Mus musculus: one gene and its partners. The protein of the gene in region 1 interacts with the protein of each later gene in a pairwise test. Links are inferred from orthologs where the notes say so. Each region holds a gene or a part of one and is shown in the gene's direction. Other genes may lie near its edges.

Evidence for each region.
Region 2: the proteins of Trim23 (region 1) and Bag1 interact in binary tests that used the Homo sapiens proteins (3 or more experiments, as listed by UniProt). The two-hybrid records come from large-scale screens. The link is inferred for Mus musculus from reciprocal best matches to the Homo sapiens genes TRIM23 and BAG1.
Region 3: the proteins of Trim23 (region 1) and Hoxb5 interact in binary tests that used the Homo sapiens proteins (3 or more experiments, as listed by UniProt). The two-hybrid records come from large-scale screens. The link is inferred for Mus musculus from reciprocal best matches to the Homo sapiens genes TRIM23 and HOXB5.
Region 4: the proteins of Trim23 (region 1) and Ube2i interact in a two-hybrid assay, tested with the Homo sapiens proteins (3 studies listed by BioGRID and IntAct). The link is inferred for Mus musculus from reciprocal best matches to the Homo sapiens genes TRIM23 and UBE2I.

What each region holds. Positions count from the first base shown.
Region 1 is NC_000079.6:104,199,339-104,202,838, forward strand, and holds part of Trim23 (E3 ubiquitin-protein ligase TRIM23), read left to right. Parts: intron 1-730; coding exon 731-855; intron 856-1,892; coding exon 1,893-2,072; 3' UTR 2,073-3,500.
Region 2 is NC_000070.6:40,938,295-40,941,794, reverse strand, and holds part of Bag1 (BAG family molecular chaperone regulator 1), read left to right. Parts: intron 1-156; coding exon 157-270; intron 271-2,610; coding exon 2,611-2,718; intron 2,719-3,500. UniProt on the Homo sapiens protein: Co-chaperone for HSP70 and HSC70 chaperone proteins. Acts as a nucleotide-exchange factor (NEF) promoting the release of ADP from the HSP70 and HSC70 proteins thereby triggering client/substrate protein release.
Region 3 is NC_000077.6:96,302,214-96,306,311, forward strand, and holds Hoxb5 (homeobox protein Hox-B5), read left to right. Parts: upstream 1-1,298; 5' UTR 1,299-1,400; coding exon 1,401-1,962; intron 1,963-2,676; coding exon 2,677-2,924; 3' UTR 2,925-3,908; downstream 3,909-4,098. UniProt on the Homo sapiens protein: Sequence-specific transcription factor which is part of a developmental regulatory system that provides cells with specific positional identities on the anterior-posterior axis.
Region 4 is NC_000083.6:25,270,632-25,274,797, reverse strand, and holds the start of Ube2i (SUMO-conjugating enzyme UBC9), read left to right. Parts: upstream 1-1,366; 5' UTR 1,367-1,477; intron 1,478-2,032; exon of another isoform or gene 2,033-2,260; intron 2,261-4,166. UniProt on the Homo sapiens protein: Accepts the ubiquitin-like proteins SUMO1, SUMO2, SUMO3, SUMO4 and SUMO1P1/SUMO5 from the UBLE1A-UBLE1B E1 complex and catalyzes their covalent attachment to other proteins with the help of an E3 ligase such as RANBP2, CBX4 and ZNF451.

The sequences.
Region 1 (3,500 bases):
ACTTACTTCACACCTGGCTCCATTCTACACTTTTGTGCCCCCTCCCATGAAGTATTACATACACCTATTTTATAATAATGGTGATATTTCTATTCCTTAAGATTATAGTTTTCTATGCTACTATTTTTTTTCACGTTTTTGAGACAGTATGTAGGCTTACCTGACCTTGAGCTTGCTATGTAGACTAGGTTAGCCTCAAATCATAAAGATCCATCTGTCTCTGCCTCTTGAGTGCTGGGAATAAAGGTGTGGGCTACCAGACTCAGCAGTTTTGTTGTTGTTTTTAACTTTTTAAGTTAACATACACAGTAATGAGTTTCATTATGGCATTTTTCATATGTATGCATCATTAACACTTCTCCTTCCTCCTAGCGGTTTGCCTTTCCCTAAAGAGCTCTCACTCTGCTTTTGTAAAGAACAGGCAGCCTTAAGGGAGATCTTAAGCACATTTTCAGGGGACAGGTTCTGAGGGACAGGTGTTTTTTTTTTTTTTTTTTTTTTTTGGTAGATTCAGTTTTATAAAACCTGTCAGAGGAGGAGAACCTGTGAAGCTATCTAAACTCTTCCTGAATTATTGCTTTAAGGCTTTAAGTAGTGACATTAAGTAGGTAGGTAGCCTTTAAATGAAGATAGGGTAAATAAGATTTAGCAAGAATAATGAAAGCAATTAATACTTTTTAATTTACTTAAACTTAATAAATAACTTGAAAATTTCTGTGTACTTTTGTAGCTGTTGTATTTGTTGTTGATAGTAGTCATAGAGACAGAATTAGTGAAGCACACAGTGAACTTGCAAAGTTGTTAACGGAAAAAGAACTCCGAGATGCCTTACTCTTGATTTTTGCTAACAAACAGGTAATGAATTTTTATATCAACATTTATTACTTTGGTAGTTTTGCATATTCCATATCATAAGTCATTTGAGAAGATATCAAAGAATCAATAGATACTTGTAAATTTCTGCTGTGGAAAATGTTACCTTCGATATTGTAGAGTATATGCACATACAAATCAAGTAAATGCATTCTTGTGTGTTCATGCTATATTCTAATATATATAAATTAGGACATCACTTCAACAATATTAATAGAATGCTGAGACGTAAGGATAGACCTATTCTAAATTAGGTTGTATCTTAAAGTATGTAAAAGTGGATTTAGGTAGATCAGGAGTTTAGATTGGCCTGGCATATATGGCAATCTCAAAGCTAGCCTGAGTTATGCATCAAGACCTTGTCTCAGAAATAGGAAAAGCTGGAGCTGAGTGGCAGTGCTCCCATGTAACATGTAACATGTCCCATGTAACATGTGCATGGCCTTGGTTTTGATCCTTTGAATGGTTTATAGTGGGGGATTCGGTCATATGATTGGAGTTTAAATTATGATAGGATTGAACTTACAGATGTATTTGAGTTTATATGTGAAGGAATAATATTAACAGGAAGAGAAACAGTAGCATAGCTAGTTTTAGGGAGCATCAAACTAACTTATATATTAAATTCAGTTAAAGGATGAAGAAAACCTAGATTAATAGATCTGGTCATGGAATAGAATAAAAAAGTTAATACTTTATTTTGTAACATTTTTAAAAAAAAATTATTAATCTACATTCCAAGTGTTGCCTCCCTTCCTGGTTCTCCCCTTTGCTTCTGAAAGGTGCCCCGCCACCTACCCTATCATAGCTGTGATTGATTTCATTATTTATTCCTTAATATATATAGATATTCTAACCAAAACATTTTCTTAATTCTTTTAGTTAATCTTAGAATCTGAAAATGAATTTTGGTTTTGTTTAGGATTCAATCACAGTGTTACCAGTAGTTTTCTATACAATTGGTAAGAGTTAGAAAAATGATTCCTTGATTGATAGAAATCACTCTATGTGTTTTTTAGGATGTAGCTGGAGCACTTTCAGTAGAAGAAATCACTGAACTTCTCAGTCTCCATAAACTATGCTGTGGAAGGAGTTGGTATATTCAGGGCTGTGATGCTCGAAGTGGAATGGGGCTCTACGAAGGGTTGGACTGGCTGTCCCGGCAACTTGTGGCTGCTGGAGTGTTGGATGTTGCTTGATTTTAATGCAGCAGTTGTTTCATGCTTATGGTTAACAGTTACTTTGCATGTGATGCATTCTAAGAAATTCTACATCTCAAATGTGATAATTAATTTAGTATGTGTATATATGAATCCTGGACTGAGAAATGTACCATTGTTTTTAAAAAGTACTCTGTGGCAAATTTAAATGACCCTGTTACATTGGTTAAATGGAGGTTTCTTGGATATACACTTTTAAAAGGTACATTAGGCATTGGAAACTTTCAGTGTATATATGTCCTTATATTGAGAGAGAAGTGGTCACAGACAATGAGTAGAAGGTCCTTTATTTTAGTGAAAAAACAGCCAGTGGAGTGCCTAACAGAGCTTAAGGAAGTATGGCTTTACCCCACCTTTTTATTGTTTTTGGCCATTGTGTACTAGAATTGAAGCTATATTGGGGTAATAGGATTGCTTTACTTCCACATTTAGCATAACATCCTTAGTGCTGGGGTCCATAAAACATAGAAAATCATTTTTTTCTACAATTTTATTATAACTCTCTCCTAAAGCATTTTGCATAACGCACAGTGAGAATGAAATGTTACCTAAGTGGACCTGATCATTAGACCAGAACTAAATTAAGAACAATAAAACTGTGAAAGTTGTTTGATCTTCACTCATAAGAACCATTTCCAGGACTGGGCCTAAGTTTATTTCCCAGGTCATAGCCCTAAATTGCTCCTTTATTTGTTCAACACATTTTCTTAGGCTAAGTAATGTGCATCCTTTGTTGGTAAAGTGTCGTAAGTCACATGAAAAACCTGTCACCTTTACATAAACACATTGAGACCTAAATAGGAAACTACCTATACCTTAGGAAAGGTTTTTCAAACAGTGGGAATGCTAATTTCTTTAACATGGTTTTCCAAGTTAAGTGCATTTACTTGACAATAAAAAGGATCAAGGCTCTTTAGGACAAGGTCTCAGTTAAAAGGAAGAACATGTCTAAAGTAAAAGAAACTTTTATAAAAAGTTTACATTTACTATGGCAGTGTTGTGAATAAAAATTAAATTTTGTGTTCTTACAGTTTATTTGTAAAAGATACTCTTATTATGGAAGCATGATTTCTTATATTTAAATAGGTAGATCTCCTGTTACTAATGCTCTTTAAGATGAAGTTGAGAGCTAAATCTTAGTGCAATTGTTACAAGGACAGTGATTTTTAGGTGGCAATGTTCTGGTTCAGTTTTTTCAAATATACTTTTTTTTTTTTAAACTTAGGAGCCAGCACTATAAAAAGCCCATCAAATATTATGGGCAGTATGTAAATAAAAATATAATAATTTGCCATTTTTCAAGAAAGTAACCGGTCACGCTGTTACAAGTAGTTTGTATGCATATGTAATACTTTGTAATTAAATTATTTAATATTTGACTGATTTTAGTAACTGTGAAAAATAAAG
Region 2 (3,500 bases), on another chromosome or scaffold:
CTAGGATGCTCGCTTGGCCTTCCTTCTCCCTGGGCTGGGCTTTATGGATAGGAATCCTGTTGTCTAACCCTTTGACTTGCTTTCCAAGAAGCACAAGAGGTTGGCTCAGTTGTTTTAGGTGAGCAATTACTGACCTCGTTTTATTCTTTATGTTAGAGCAATCCAGAAGAAGAGGTTGAGTTAAAGAAGCTGAAAGATTTGGAGGTATCTGCAGAGAAGATAGCTAACCACCTGCAAGAATTGAATAAAGAGCTTTCTGGCATCCAGCAGGTGACTTCTCTATTCTGTGGATAGAGTGGTATGGTATTGTTGCCTGGTTGGCTTTTTAAAAAATAATTTATTTCATTTTTAAATTATATATTAATTATGTGTGAGTCTGCCTGGGTCTGTGTTGGAGTAGGTGGATGTGAGTGCTGGTGGCCAGGAAGACACCCCCCACACCCCCCAGAGCTGGGGTGATGTGAGGTGGTGAGCCTCTAGATGCTGGGAGCAGAACGCAGGTCGGCTAGTAGAACAGTACACCTTCTTAATCTCCGAGCCATCTCTCCAGTCCTGTTTTGTGTTGTAATTATAAAATTAGTTTGTGATGCTTACACAAAAGTTTTATATGTGCGTATAGATAGATTCAAGCCGAGGCCTTTCACGTCCTAAGCTCAGCTCTGCTCTCACTGTGCTGCTTTTGTTGTTGTTGTTGTTTTGTTTGTTTGTTCGTTTTTTTGGTTTTTGTTTGTTTGGTTTTTGTTTTTTTGTTTTTTTGGTTTTTCAAGACAGGGTTTCTCTGTGTAGCCCTGGCTGTCCTGGAACTCACTCTGTAGACCAGGCTGGCCTTGAACTCAGAAATCCGCCTGCCTCTGCCTCCCAAGTGCTGGGATTAAAGGCGTGCACCACCACGCCCGGCTCTTACTGTGCTTCTTGTGTGCAGGTCTGTATGTCTGACCCAGAGATGCTATTACTCTGAAAAGTATTTTTCACCTTATTTAGTTAAAATATAATATGCTATACATTTGGTAAATTGTTCTTTTACTGGCTAAAAATTAACATTTTCCTGTGTTGTTGAAAATGGTCATATTTTCCTGCATGTGAATATATCATGGTTTACCTACCTTAGTCTCTGTTCTCTGTTTTACCTGATTTTTTTCTCTTACTGTGCTGCTGCTTTGAGTGCCCTTAGACAGGAGTCCTTTTTGAGTAGTTGTGATTGTCTTTGATAGAACTGAGTTTGGATTTCTGAGTAATGTTCGAACTTCTTGCTGTGTGTTTACAAATATGCCTTTGTCACTCTGGTTTGATAGCCATCTTCAGAAATTCCTGCTTTTCAACTCAGCCACCCGCTAACTGATCACTAGGCAAAGAAATGCAAATGAACAGCAGGGTGGTTTAATGACAGTAAGTGCTACCTCAACCAGGTGTGGGCTTGTACACCGTAATCACAGCTTTTCTCAGAGCAAGAGACGGGATCAGTTTAAGGGCAGCATTGACTATGCAGTGAGTTAGAGATCCTGTCTCAAAACCAAAGCCACAATAATACCGCCATCCTCTGTTATCTTGTGTATCTATCTGTGCCATGAGTTATGTGAGCATCTACACATCTGCCGGTCAGCATCCCATAATCTGAGATCAGTGAGACGTGGCAAGTTTAAGGAACTTGCTTTAAGATCTTAAGCCAAAGTTGGGAATGTAGCTTAGCTGATAAAGTGCTTGCCACACAGCATCAGGACCTGGGTTCAGATTCCCAGCATCCATGCAGAAACTGGGCATGATGGCACACTGTATAATCCCAGTGTGGGGGAGGCAAAGAGAAGAGGGCTGGATCCCAGCTGCTCACTGCCCAAACAGTCTAGCCAAATTGGGCAAGCTCCAGATTCAGTAAAAGACCCTGTCTCAAAAAATAAGGCAGAGTCTTAGTCAGTGAAGAGGCGCCGTGACCACAGCAACTCTTAAAAGAAGAAAGCGTTTATTTGTGGCTGGCTTAAAGTTCAGAGGTTTAATTAGTCCATTATCATCATGGCAGGAAGCATGGTGGCATGCAGGCAGACTTTGTGCTGGAGAGGTAGCTGAGAATTCTTCATTTCAATCCACAGGCAACACTTAGAGAGAGACACTGGGCCTGGCTTGGGCTTTTAAAACCCCAAAGCCCACCCCCAGTGACACATTTCCTCCCACAAGGCCACACCTCCTAATCCTTGTCAAGTAGCACTACTCCCTAGTGACCAAGCATACAAATATATGGGGGCCATTTTTATTCAAACCACCACACAGTGTTTGGCAAAGACACCTCACGCCAACCCTTGATGCACTGTGCCCAGCTTTTCAGTCTGTTCTCTTAATGTCTGCTTCTTATGTGCATGTATGCACCTGTGTTGAAGGCTGCACCATAGTTCCTCAGGGGGCATTCATGCCTCAGTGGACTGTGAGAGAAAGAACAGTCCACACCCTGGTAGTATTCTTAGTCTGGCCAAGGCAAGCATTTCTAATTTTCCCAGGGGATGAAGGTCTGAGATCTAGCCGGGCTTCTTAGATCAGTGGTGAACTCTGGGTTGCTTCACCAGTCTATTGGCATGGTTTTCCATGAGTCTCAAACACTTGCAATAGTGCCTTATTCCTTCTCAGGGTTTTCTGGCTAAGGAATTGCAAGCGGAGGCTCTCTGCAAACTTGATAGGAAAGTAAAAGCAACAATTGAGCAATTCATGAAGATCTTGGAGGAGATTGACACAATGGTAAGTAAACATTCATATAGAGGTACTAGCCTTTTTATTTACTTTTAACGTTTTATTTATTTATATATACAGCGTTCTGCCTGCATGTATGCCTGCAGGCCAGAAGAGAGCACCAGACCCCATTACAGATGGCTGTGAGCCACTATGTGGTTGCTGGGAATTGAACTTAGGACCTCTGGAAGAGCGATCAGTGCTCTTAACCACTGAGCCACCTCTCTAACCCCAGAGGTACTTCTCTTTAGTGGCAGTATTTCAGTCTATTTCGTTCTGTCAGTATTACACTTGTGTTACCTGGGAAAATCTGTTGCTCGGGGATGTCAAACATCTACTGTTATGGGCCAGGTACTGTGTGTCTTAGTTAGCTTTAACTGTCATCTTAACACAGCCTAGAGGCACCTAAGAAATACGTCTCAGCTGAGGGATTACCCAGATGAGCGTGACCTATAGGCACACTGGGGCAAGATGGGTTTGGTAATTGATAGAGTCCATTATGAGCTGCATCTGCCCCAGGCAGGTGGTCCTGGGCTGTATAAGAAAGCCAGCTTGGAGCCAGGGAAATGGTTCAGTGGTTACAAGTACCAGTTGCTCTTCCAGAGAACTTGGATTTGATTCCCAGAATCTACAGTACCTTGCAACCCTCTCTAAGCCGAGTTCCAGGGGATCCAGTGTCCTCTTCAGGCCTCCTCAAGTCCCAGGCAGGCGTGTGGTATAGATATACATGCAGGCAAAACACCCATAAAATAAATAAGCCTTCCGCCGGGTGTGGTGGCACACGCCTTTAA
Region 3 (4,098 bases), on another chromosome or scaffold:
TTGGAGACCCGAGGGCAGGGGTCCAGGTGATGGCGCCTTTAGTCTCACCTTCTCAACCCAAAATGGCTCATTTTCTCTTTACTGCCACCCACACCCGAGCAGCAAGCTTCAGGCCCCGTTTTCTTTTCTTCCTTCTCCCTCTCCCCCCTCCTTTTTTTATTTTTAAAGAAAATAGCCGTCTGGCAGAAGGGGCCCAGCTGCGGAGATCTCTGGCCGCCCAGCGAGCTCAGCAAGGGGCCGCCGGTCTTCCGAACACCTTCCCAGGGAAGGCGGTAAGGCCATGAGCAAATTCTCCAATTATTGGCCACCAGCAACACAAGGCTTTGGATTTGGTCTCTGAATGAGATAGCTGGCATCTGGCGAGCTTGTTAAAGGGGATCTGTTTAAACCCCAAACTCCCGCAGAAGAGTTACCACCAAACCTTAACCGCTCAGACGGTTGTCTCTCTAGTCTTTGGCCGACCGACCATCTTTCTCTTCTAGGGTCCCTGTTTACCTCGGTTCCTAGGCCTAGGCTAAGGATGAGAGGTCAGAAGGAAAAATCCAAACTTCCCAGGGGCCCAGGAGAACGAAGAGCTTCCCTGCCTTTTCCAGCCTCCCTCCAGCCTAGTCCTGCGGCTCTCTCTCGTGTTGTGGACCCGCCGCTGAAGCCTAGCCAAGAAGCAGACCTGGCTGAGCTAACAAAATTCTTATAATTGTTTTTCACACACAACTTATAATCCTTCCCCCCATTTCCTTACCCAAGTTGGGGACTGGCAAAGCCTAAGGAGGGAAGATCAAGCAACTTCATTTTGATTATATTACCCAGAGTTAAAATAATAATGGTGATGATAATGTCAGAGAGGCCACAAATAGAGGGGATAGCCGCACCCTAACGAAGTAGGCAAAAGACTCAAATCCATCTTCCTAAAGGTTCAAGCCTGTGAGTGAGCTGCGGGCCGGGTTTCTTTCTTGGCTTGGCGGTTGCACAGAGCCAGCAAAGAGGTTGCCGAAGCCGCCATGGCGGCCTGCGGCCCGCGCTCCCGTCAATCGCCGGGAGGTGGCGCGCTCTGCTCAGAGGCCAACGTCAACCTTCTCCCTGTTTTTCCCCCTTCTCACTTTCTCCCCCCCTCTCGGAGGCTCGCATTGAATCGGCCCTAACGATTCTCCGATCGTCATTATTTGTAACCATAGAGCATGAATTACCTCTTGAGGTCATCAGTGAGAATTTACGACTGGTCAACAAAAGCACGTGATTCCCTAACGCCCCCCCATCCCCCTTCTAACCCCCCCCATATTTGGCCGCATACATAGCAAAACGAAGTACAGTGCATCGCTATAATTCATTAATACATCATAAATCGTGAAGCACAGGGTTATAACGACCACGATCCACAAATCAAGCCCTCCAAAATCACCCAAATGAGCTCGTACTTTGTAAACTCCTTCTCGGGGCGTTATCCAAATGGCCCGGACTATCAGTTGCTAAATTATGGCAGTGGCAGCTCTCTGAGCGGCTCTTACAGGGATCCCGCTGCCATGCACACCGGCTCTTACGGCTACAATTACAATGGGATGGATCTCAGCGTCAACCGCTCCTCGGCCTCCTCCAGCCACTTTGGGGCGGTGGGCGAGAGCTCGCGCGCCTTCCCCGCGTCCGCCCAGGAACCCCGCTTCAGGCAGGCGACGTCCAGCTGCTCCCTGTCCTCGCCCGAGTCCCTGCCCTGCACTAACGGCGACAGCCACGGCGCCAAGCCCTCTGCTTCGTCCCCTTCCGACCAGGCGACCCCAGCCAGCTCCAGCGCCAATTTCACCGAAATAGACGAGGCCAGCGCGTCCTCTGAGCCCGAGGAAGCGGCGAGCCAGCTAAGCAGCCCCAGCTTGGCTCGAGCACAGCCAGAGCCCATGGCCACCTCTACGGCCGCGCCCGAGGGGCAGACTCCACAGATATTCCCCTGGATGAGGAAGCTTCACATCAGCCACGGTAATTCTCCATCTCTTTTTTGTCCTCTCCGCATTCCTGCCCTGTGTTGGGGGTGGGGGCGAGCAAAGCTTGGCTTTGCCTCAAATATAGATCCCTTTTTTCTTTTCTTTTTTTCTTTTTCTTTCTTTCTTTTTTTTTGCCATCAAGAGGGAAAAGTGTCAGAAAGGGTCCCCACAGCTCCATAGATAGAGCCAAACAGTGTTGTTTTCTGGGCGTAGGCATTTAAAAAAAAAAAAAAAAGGCCAGTTTGTTGCCACGTTCAGCTTAGGTTTTGTTTACCTAGCCAGTCACCGGCTTTAGGATGAAAGATGGGATTTGTGTATTGTGAGGAAGGGTCCTGATTATTACAGAAATTTTGAGACTGCTGCTAGCAAAGGGGGAATGGGCTATAAACGGAGCTTTCTAGGGCAAAAGTGCAGTGGCTCTCTTCCCTCCCGGGCGAGCTGCCGCCTGAACCCAGCCTAGGGTGAGGCACTGGGAAGGAGCCAGAGACAAAGCCGGGAGCATTCACTACCATCAGAAGTGGGGGCTGCTGGAGAAGGGGGGGTATGAAGAAATAGAGGCTGGATGCAGGCATCTGGGGTGAGGAGGATGGGAGCTGCGGTGAGCTGGGTGCTGGGGACGCCTGGGTCCTGCTCCCCGCCCCCTCCCACTCAGTGCCCCCTCCTTTAACCGGAATAACGTTGCCTCGGGGCTCTCCTCTAACTGCTCTAGATATGACTGGGCCAGACGGAAAAAGGGCCCGGACCGCCTATACTCGCTACCAGACCCTGGAGCTGGAAAAGGAATTCCACTTCAATCGCTACCTGACCCGGCGGCGACGTATCGAGATCGCCCACGCGCTTTGCCTGTCCGAGCGTCAGATCAAAATCTGGTTCCAGAACCGTCGCATGAAGTGGAAGAAAGACAACAAACTGAAAAGTATGAGTCTGGCTACAGCCGGCAGCGCCTTCCAACCTTGAGCCCATCCGGAGGAGCCCTGGGCGGCCCGAGAGCCCGCACCAACCCCAGCTCGACCCTTCCAATCTTCCCTGCACTGCCGCTGCCCGCTGGGGACCAGTTCCCACGAGCCTGTCACACCCCAGTCCTGTGTTACAATTTTTCGTTTGGTCTTAGGTCTTCCCATGGCTCCCTCTCTCCTGGACTGGTTATCTTGTTATTATTGTTAATAATAATTATTATTATTATTTCCCCCTCCGTGCTCCCCACTTCTCTTGGCTCGCCCCCCCCCAAGTTGCCAGTGTTTCTGAATGTCCTCGTGTCTGTGGTTGCGCTCCTTTCCCCAGGAAAAAGAAAAGAAAAAGAAATTCGCATGTTTAATGTGACTTCCCCTCCCCGTCTGTGTTCTAACTTATTTATAAAAGGATGATGGCTGTATTTTGAGTTTCTGCTGGAAACTTCCATAAGGGGCAGCAGTTGAGGTTGGGTAGTGCTGGGCCCAGCTGAGCTGGCCTGGGAAATGGAGCCCACTGTCTGTGTCTCTTTTCTCCCACCTCATCCTTCTTCAGCCCCACCCAGCCCCCACTCCCTAGGCTCAGGTAGCTTGTTCCTTGGGGTGGGAAGGGAGCTAGGGAAGGGTCAAAGTGTGGACATTGAGAAGAGGAGAGGAAAGGAGCAAGAGCTGAACTCCTGCTGCCTGGTAGGCCCCACAAGGCCTAGTCTGGAAGCGTATGGAATCAGAAATAATCCTCAGTGTAAAATGTCTTGTGATTTTTCTCTGTGAATCCGTGGGTCTGGCTAGAAGGCCCAATGCTGTAAATATGGGGATAGTCTGGGTCAGGCCAATCACTTCCTCTCTCACCCATTTCGCTTCCAAGACCATTTGTAGTGAGCGGGTGGATGCTGTGCTACGTGTGAAATCTGTCTTTGCCAGGCCTGTCTCAGTGATTAGCTTTTGGTATGTCTGTAGCTTTCCTTGAAGTTGAATAAATGTTTCCCCCACTCCAGTGCCCTCTACTTGTCTTTTCTCAGAGGGTCTGACTCTTTCACCATCCAGCACAACCTGGTCTAAGACCATCTTCAATAAATCTAGGGCATAGGGAAGCCCACCAGAAATCCCTCAAAGCCACCTCACTCCCAGGCTTGGCCCACTGAGGCTTGATGAGGGGACTGAGAGGCCCAGGAACTTCACGTGGC
Region 4 (4,166 bases), on another chromosome or scaffold:
TGTTTTGCAGGCTGGGATGGATCCAAACCAGATCTGTTGGGGGTACAGATCTAGTGTGTCAGGAACTTGTATCTAAGCCGACCTTGTCTACAACTCAGCCCCAATGAGAGACCAAGGTCCCTCAGGATCTGGTGCTCACTGTGATCTTAACTCTTAAACAGTACGGCTACGAACAGGAGGAATTAACAGGGTGAGCTCCAGGGAATGTTGGACAATTGTGGGCAAGGGGCATGGGACCTTAGTTCCTGTTTTGGGGCACCCAACAACCTCAAAAGGTAAGAGGAGAACGAAGGAAGGAGAGAGTGGTGAGTAGATGGACGGAGATACTGACAGATGAACACTGGAGTCCCTGGCAGCAATTGGACCCATAGTCCAAATTCCCAGGAAGCCCTTGTTGGCTGCAACTGGCCCCGAAAGGCCTCCAGCACGTGCCAAAAAAAAAGGAGCAGGCGCCAGAATGGCCACCAGGGGGCCAGCCGACGGTTCTAAGTACCCGTCCCGTCGGTGAGTCGGTGAGGAAGCATCCGAGCTGGGTTGCAGAGGACTGGCCGAGGAAACTGGACTAGGCCACGGCGTGACAAAAGCGTGTCCAGCGGGGCCAGCAGAAGCCGCACAGGGGTTTCAGGTGGAACTAAGGTGTGGGGTGCGGCACAGGGAAGAGGCCTGGGGCGCGCGCGCGGGGGGGGGGGTCCGCGGGTGCTGCCCCTCCCCCACGGCGCAGGCCCATTCCCCTCCCCCACTAGGGGGCTAACTCGTAGGTTAGGGAGCATCCACATTTCTCTCCCCGTCGGTTTTGCTTGCGTTTGGCCCTTTGTATGAGGCTAGTTCATTGGATAGTTTCGAGGTTCACCCCGCCCAAGTTCCTGAGCTGGCCAATTGCAGAAAGTGTCACAGCGCGCTAAGTTCCGGGGATCGTCACCGTACTGCGACGATTCCCAGGATGTTTAGGCCTCAGTGATCTTTGCTCCCGGGACTCGGGCCTTGAGCCCAAGGATACCTCCAGAGCCTGTGCCCGGGAAGGTGCCCTCTGAGCATCCGGATGACCCTTGGGAATCTATGCTTCTTTTTCCTCACACGACTCTCTGATGTGTCCTCGAGTGGACGCGCTCATCCCGAAGAGGAGTTTGCAGACGCTCCCTCGAGCCTAGGACGCGGCCCCTTTAAGAGTGCGGCCGTTCAGGGCACCGCCTGCTTGGACAGGCGCCCTGGGCTCGGGCTCCTTAGGCGGTCGCGGGCAACGAGGGCGCGGCAGCCGCGTGCGGGCTGCGGGAAGCTCGTGTTTAAGTAGACGCGTAGGCCACCGGACGGGAGGGACGGTAAGCTGAGCAGGCGTGTGGCGGGCAGCCCAGCTCAGGCCCCGCCCCGCCCGCTGGGGTCCTGCGCTCCGTGCTGCGCGCGGCGGGCGCGGAGGGAAGTCCCGAGACAAAGGAGCGCCGCCGCCTCTGCCGCCGCGACGGTCCGGGCCGCGGTCGCCCAGGTGAGCCGCCACCGGCCTGCGCACGCACTCCCATCTTCGCCCGGACTCGCCGCCGTTCCCAGTGAGCTTCCGGGAGGCGCCGAGCGGAGCCACGGCGGCCTCCTCTCGCTCGCGGCCTCCGAGTCTCGGCCTTCGGGGCACTAGGGCCCAGCCGCTGTGCCACGGGAGAATACAGGGTTGGGAGCACGGCCCACTGCCCCCCTACTCTTGGCGAACTGAGTTCCGCCGACCCCGCAACAGATAATCTGAGCTTCCCAGTAGCTCCCAGACGCGTTCTGGGCGGTGCTGGGCTCCGTAGTTAGGCGAGTGAGAGTGCGGAAGGCCGTGAGTACTGGGCCGTGTCGGGGCCTGTAAGCACCCGGAGTCACATCAGAAGGCTTCGTTCGTTACCGAGACGCTAGGCTTGTAGCTTGGGTTTTTGTGGGGGAGTCTTGTGTATATTCTCTGCCCCACCTTCCTTTATTCTTAAGGAACTGTTGTTTTAGTGGATGAGTTAGTTACCTGCCTGCATAGCAGAAAACGGGCGTCGAAGGGGAGTTTGTTTTCTTTCTAAAGGTATTCAGGCTGTGAGTGATCGCAGTCCTGCCCTCCTCTGGCTGTCTCTGCCACTGGAAACTTAACAAACAGCGTGGTATACTTACTGAAGGATCCTTAGGGCCTACAGTGTGCATTCGAGTAAAAGAGGCCGCTTCGCCCTATCCAAGCCAGCCGTAGTGCCTGGTACCCATGTTCCCTCTGCCGAGGTGGGCGGAGATAAGCAACCTTGCACAGGCTCTCTGACCGGTAAGTAGCTCTGAAGTAGGTGGTGTCGCCAGACAAATACTGTACACTGTAGGAAGCCTGGAGTCATAAGACCCATCCCTGTATGTCCTTCCTGTCTCTAGTAGTGGGGAGGGGAATGGTTTTTTGGTTTGGTTTGGTTTAGTTTGGTCATTGCATCACAAAACTTTTAGCTCGTGAAGTGACTGTTTGCCTGGGAAGGCAAGTTGTGTTTAAGTGGCTTTTGGAGTGCTTGCGGGAGCAGCAGCACTGCCCCCCAAGTTTCTGCCTAGATCATTGCCAGGGTGCTCCTAGGGTTCCTTTTCCTCGACCGTGGGGCAAAAGGCCTTTAAGAGTTCTGATAAGAGCCACCTCTCACTTCTCCCTGTTTTTGAGACAGGATCTCTTGTAGCCAAGGCTAACCTTGAACTCTTGGTGATTCCCTGGTTCTGTCTCCTTAACACTGAGTGTCCAGGCAAGAGCAGTTGAGCTAGCTTCTCGGTTCTTCTCACTTAGGATAGCTGCAGTTGGATGCTAGGACAGAGTTCTCTGGGCACACAACTTTATCCTGAAGTCAGTTACAGCTGTCCCAACAGCTTTGTGTGGCCCGGTGTCCAGGCTTCTTTCTCCAGAGCACTGGCCCCGGGCTCCAGAGAGAAACCTGTTAGGAAACCCTGCCCAGACTTGCTTGCCATCTTCTGCCATCTGATTGGCTGGATGAGGATAGCTGCTTCAGTGGAAGATGCTAGAGAAAGAGATTGGGCAGGCCTGTGCGTTGAGAAGTTGAAAAGAGGGACACATTGGAAGTGAAGCCCTATGCTCCAGTCACTCTTAGATGAGCGCCACCTGGGTCGTAAATTGCCTAAGAGATGACTATTAGGGCAGGTTGGGGTTTTGTGGCAGAACCTTGGTGCTTGTTCCTAGACAGGCTCTACTCCTGTGCTAGGAAAAGACAGTTGGGTTTGGGCTGGACTCTCTGTTTTGGACTTGAGGTCTGTAAGAGAGGAGCCTTGCCTTTAATTTGTATACTTTGTGATTTGGTATTGGAGTTTGTGGAGCATAAGTACTGTCTGTTGTGATTTATAAAAAAAGGAATCGGGATGTTTGATAGAGCCAGGTATGCTTAGAAGGAATGCCAACATTGTCAAGGCTTGTCCTGGTGGCTTGTGCTTTTTTTTTTTTAATATATTTTATGTGCACTATTACCTGTATGTTTGTGTGTTCGAGGGCATCCAGGTCCCCTGGAACTGGAGTTTCAGGCAATCATAAGCTGGCATGTGGGTGCTGGGAGTTGAACCCATTGGAAGAGCATCTAGTACTCTTAATTTCGCCAGTCCCAGCTTGTGCTTCTAAAAGAGGTTCTTCATGTTGGCTTAGAGTGTACAGGATATTAAAAATGCTGATATGAAGTGTTTGTCTTACAATGACCTCACCCACTGAAGTATTTCCTGAACTCTGGGCTCTGGGGTGATGCTGTACCTCTGATGGCAGTCCCAGCCCCTCTCTACTTGGATTTGTACAGTCATCACAAGCAGTCTAGGTGCTGTGGTGCGTGACTGTCAAGGCCAGCTGTGGCCACATGGTGAGACTGTCTCCAAAAATAAAGGAAAGAAAGAAAGAAAAAGTGGTCTAGGAGCCAGATGTAGTGGCTCATGCCTGTAATCCCAATACCAGGAGCTAGCCAGGAGTTTTGGGCTAACCTGGGCTACAGTGTGAGACTCTGAACTTAAAACAAGTCATCTGTAACTTCAGTGCAGGACTCACCAGAATGCTTTGACCCAGTGGGTCTGTCTGTTCAGGTTCAGAACAACTGTGCTTACAGATGGAGGTGCATATCTGATCAGCCCACCTGTAGCCCAGGGATCCTAGCTGGGTCAGGAACACGCAGTAAATCCTAGGGTAGTCACAGCTTTGCAGATAAAATGGGCAG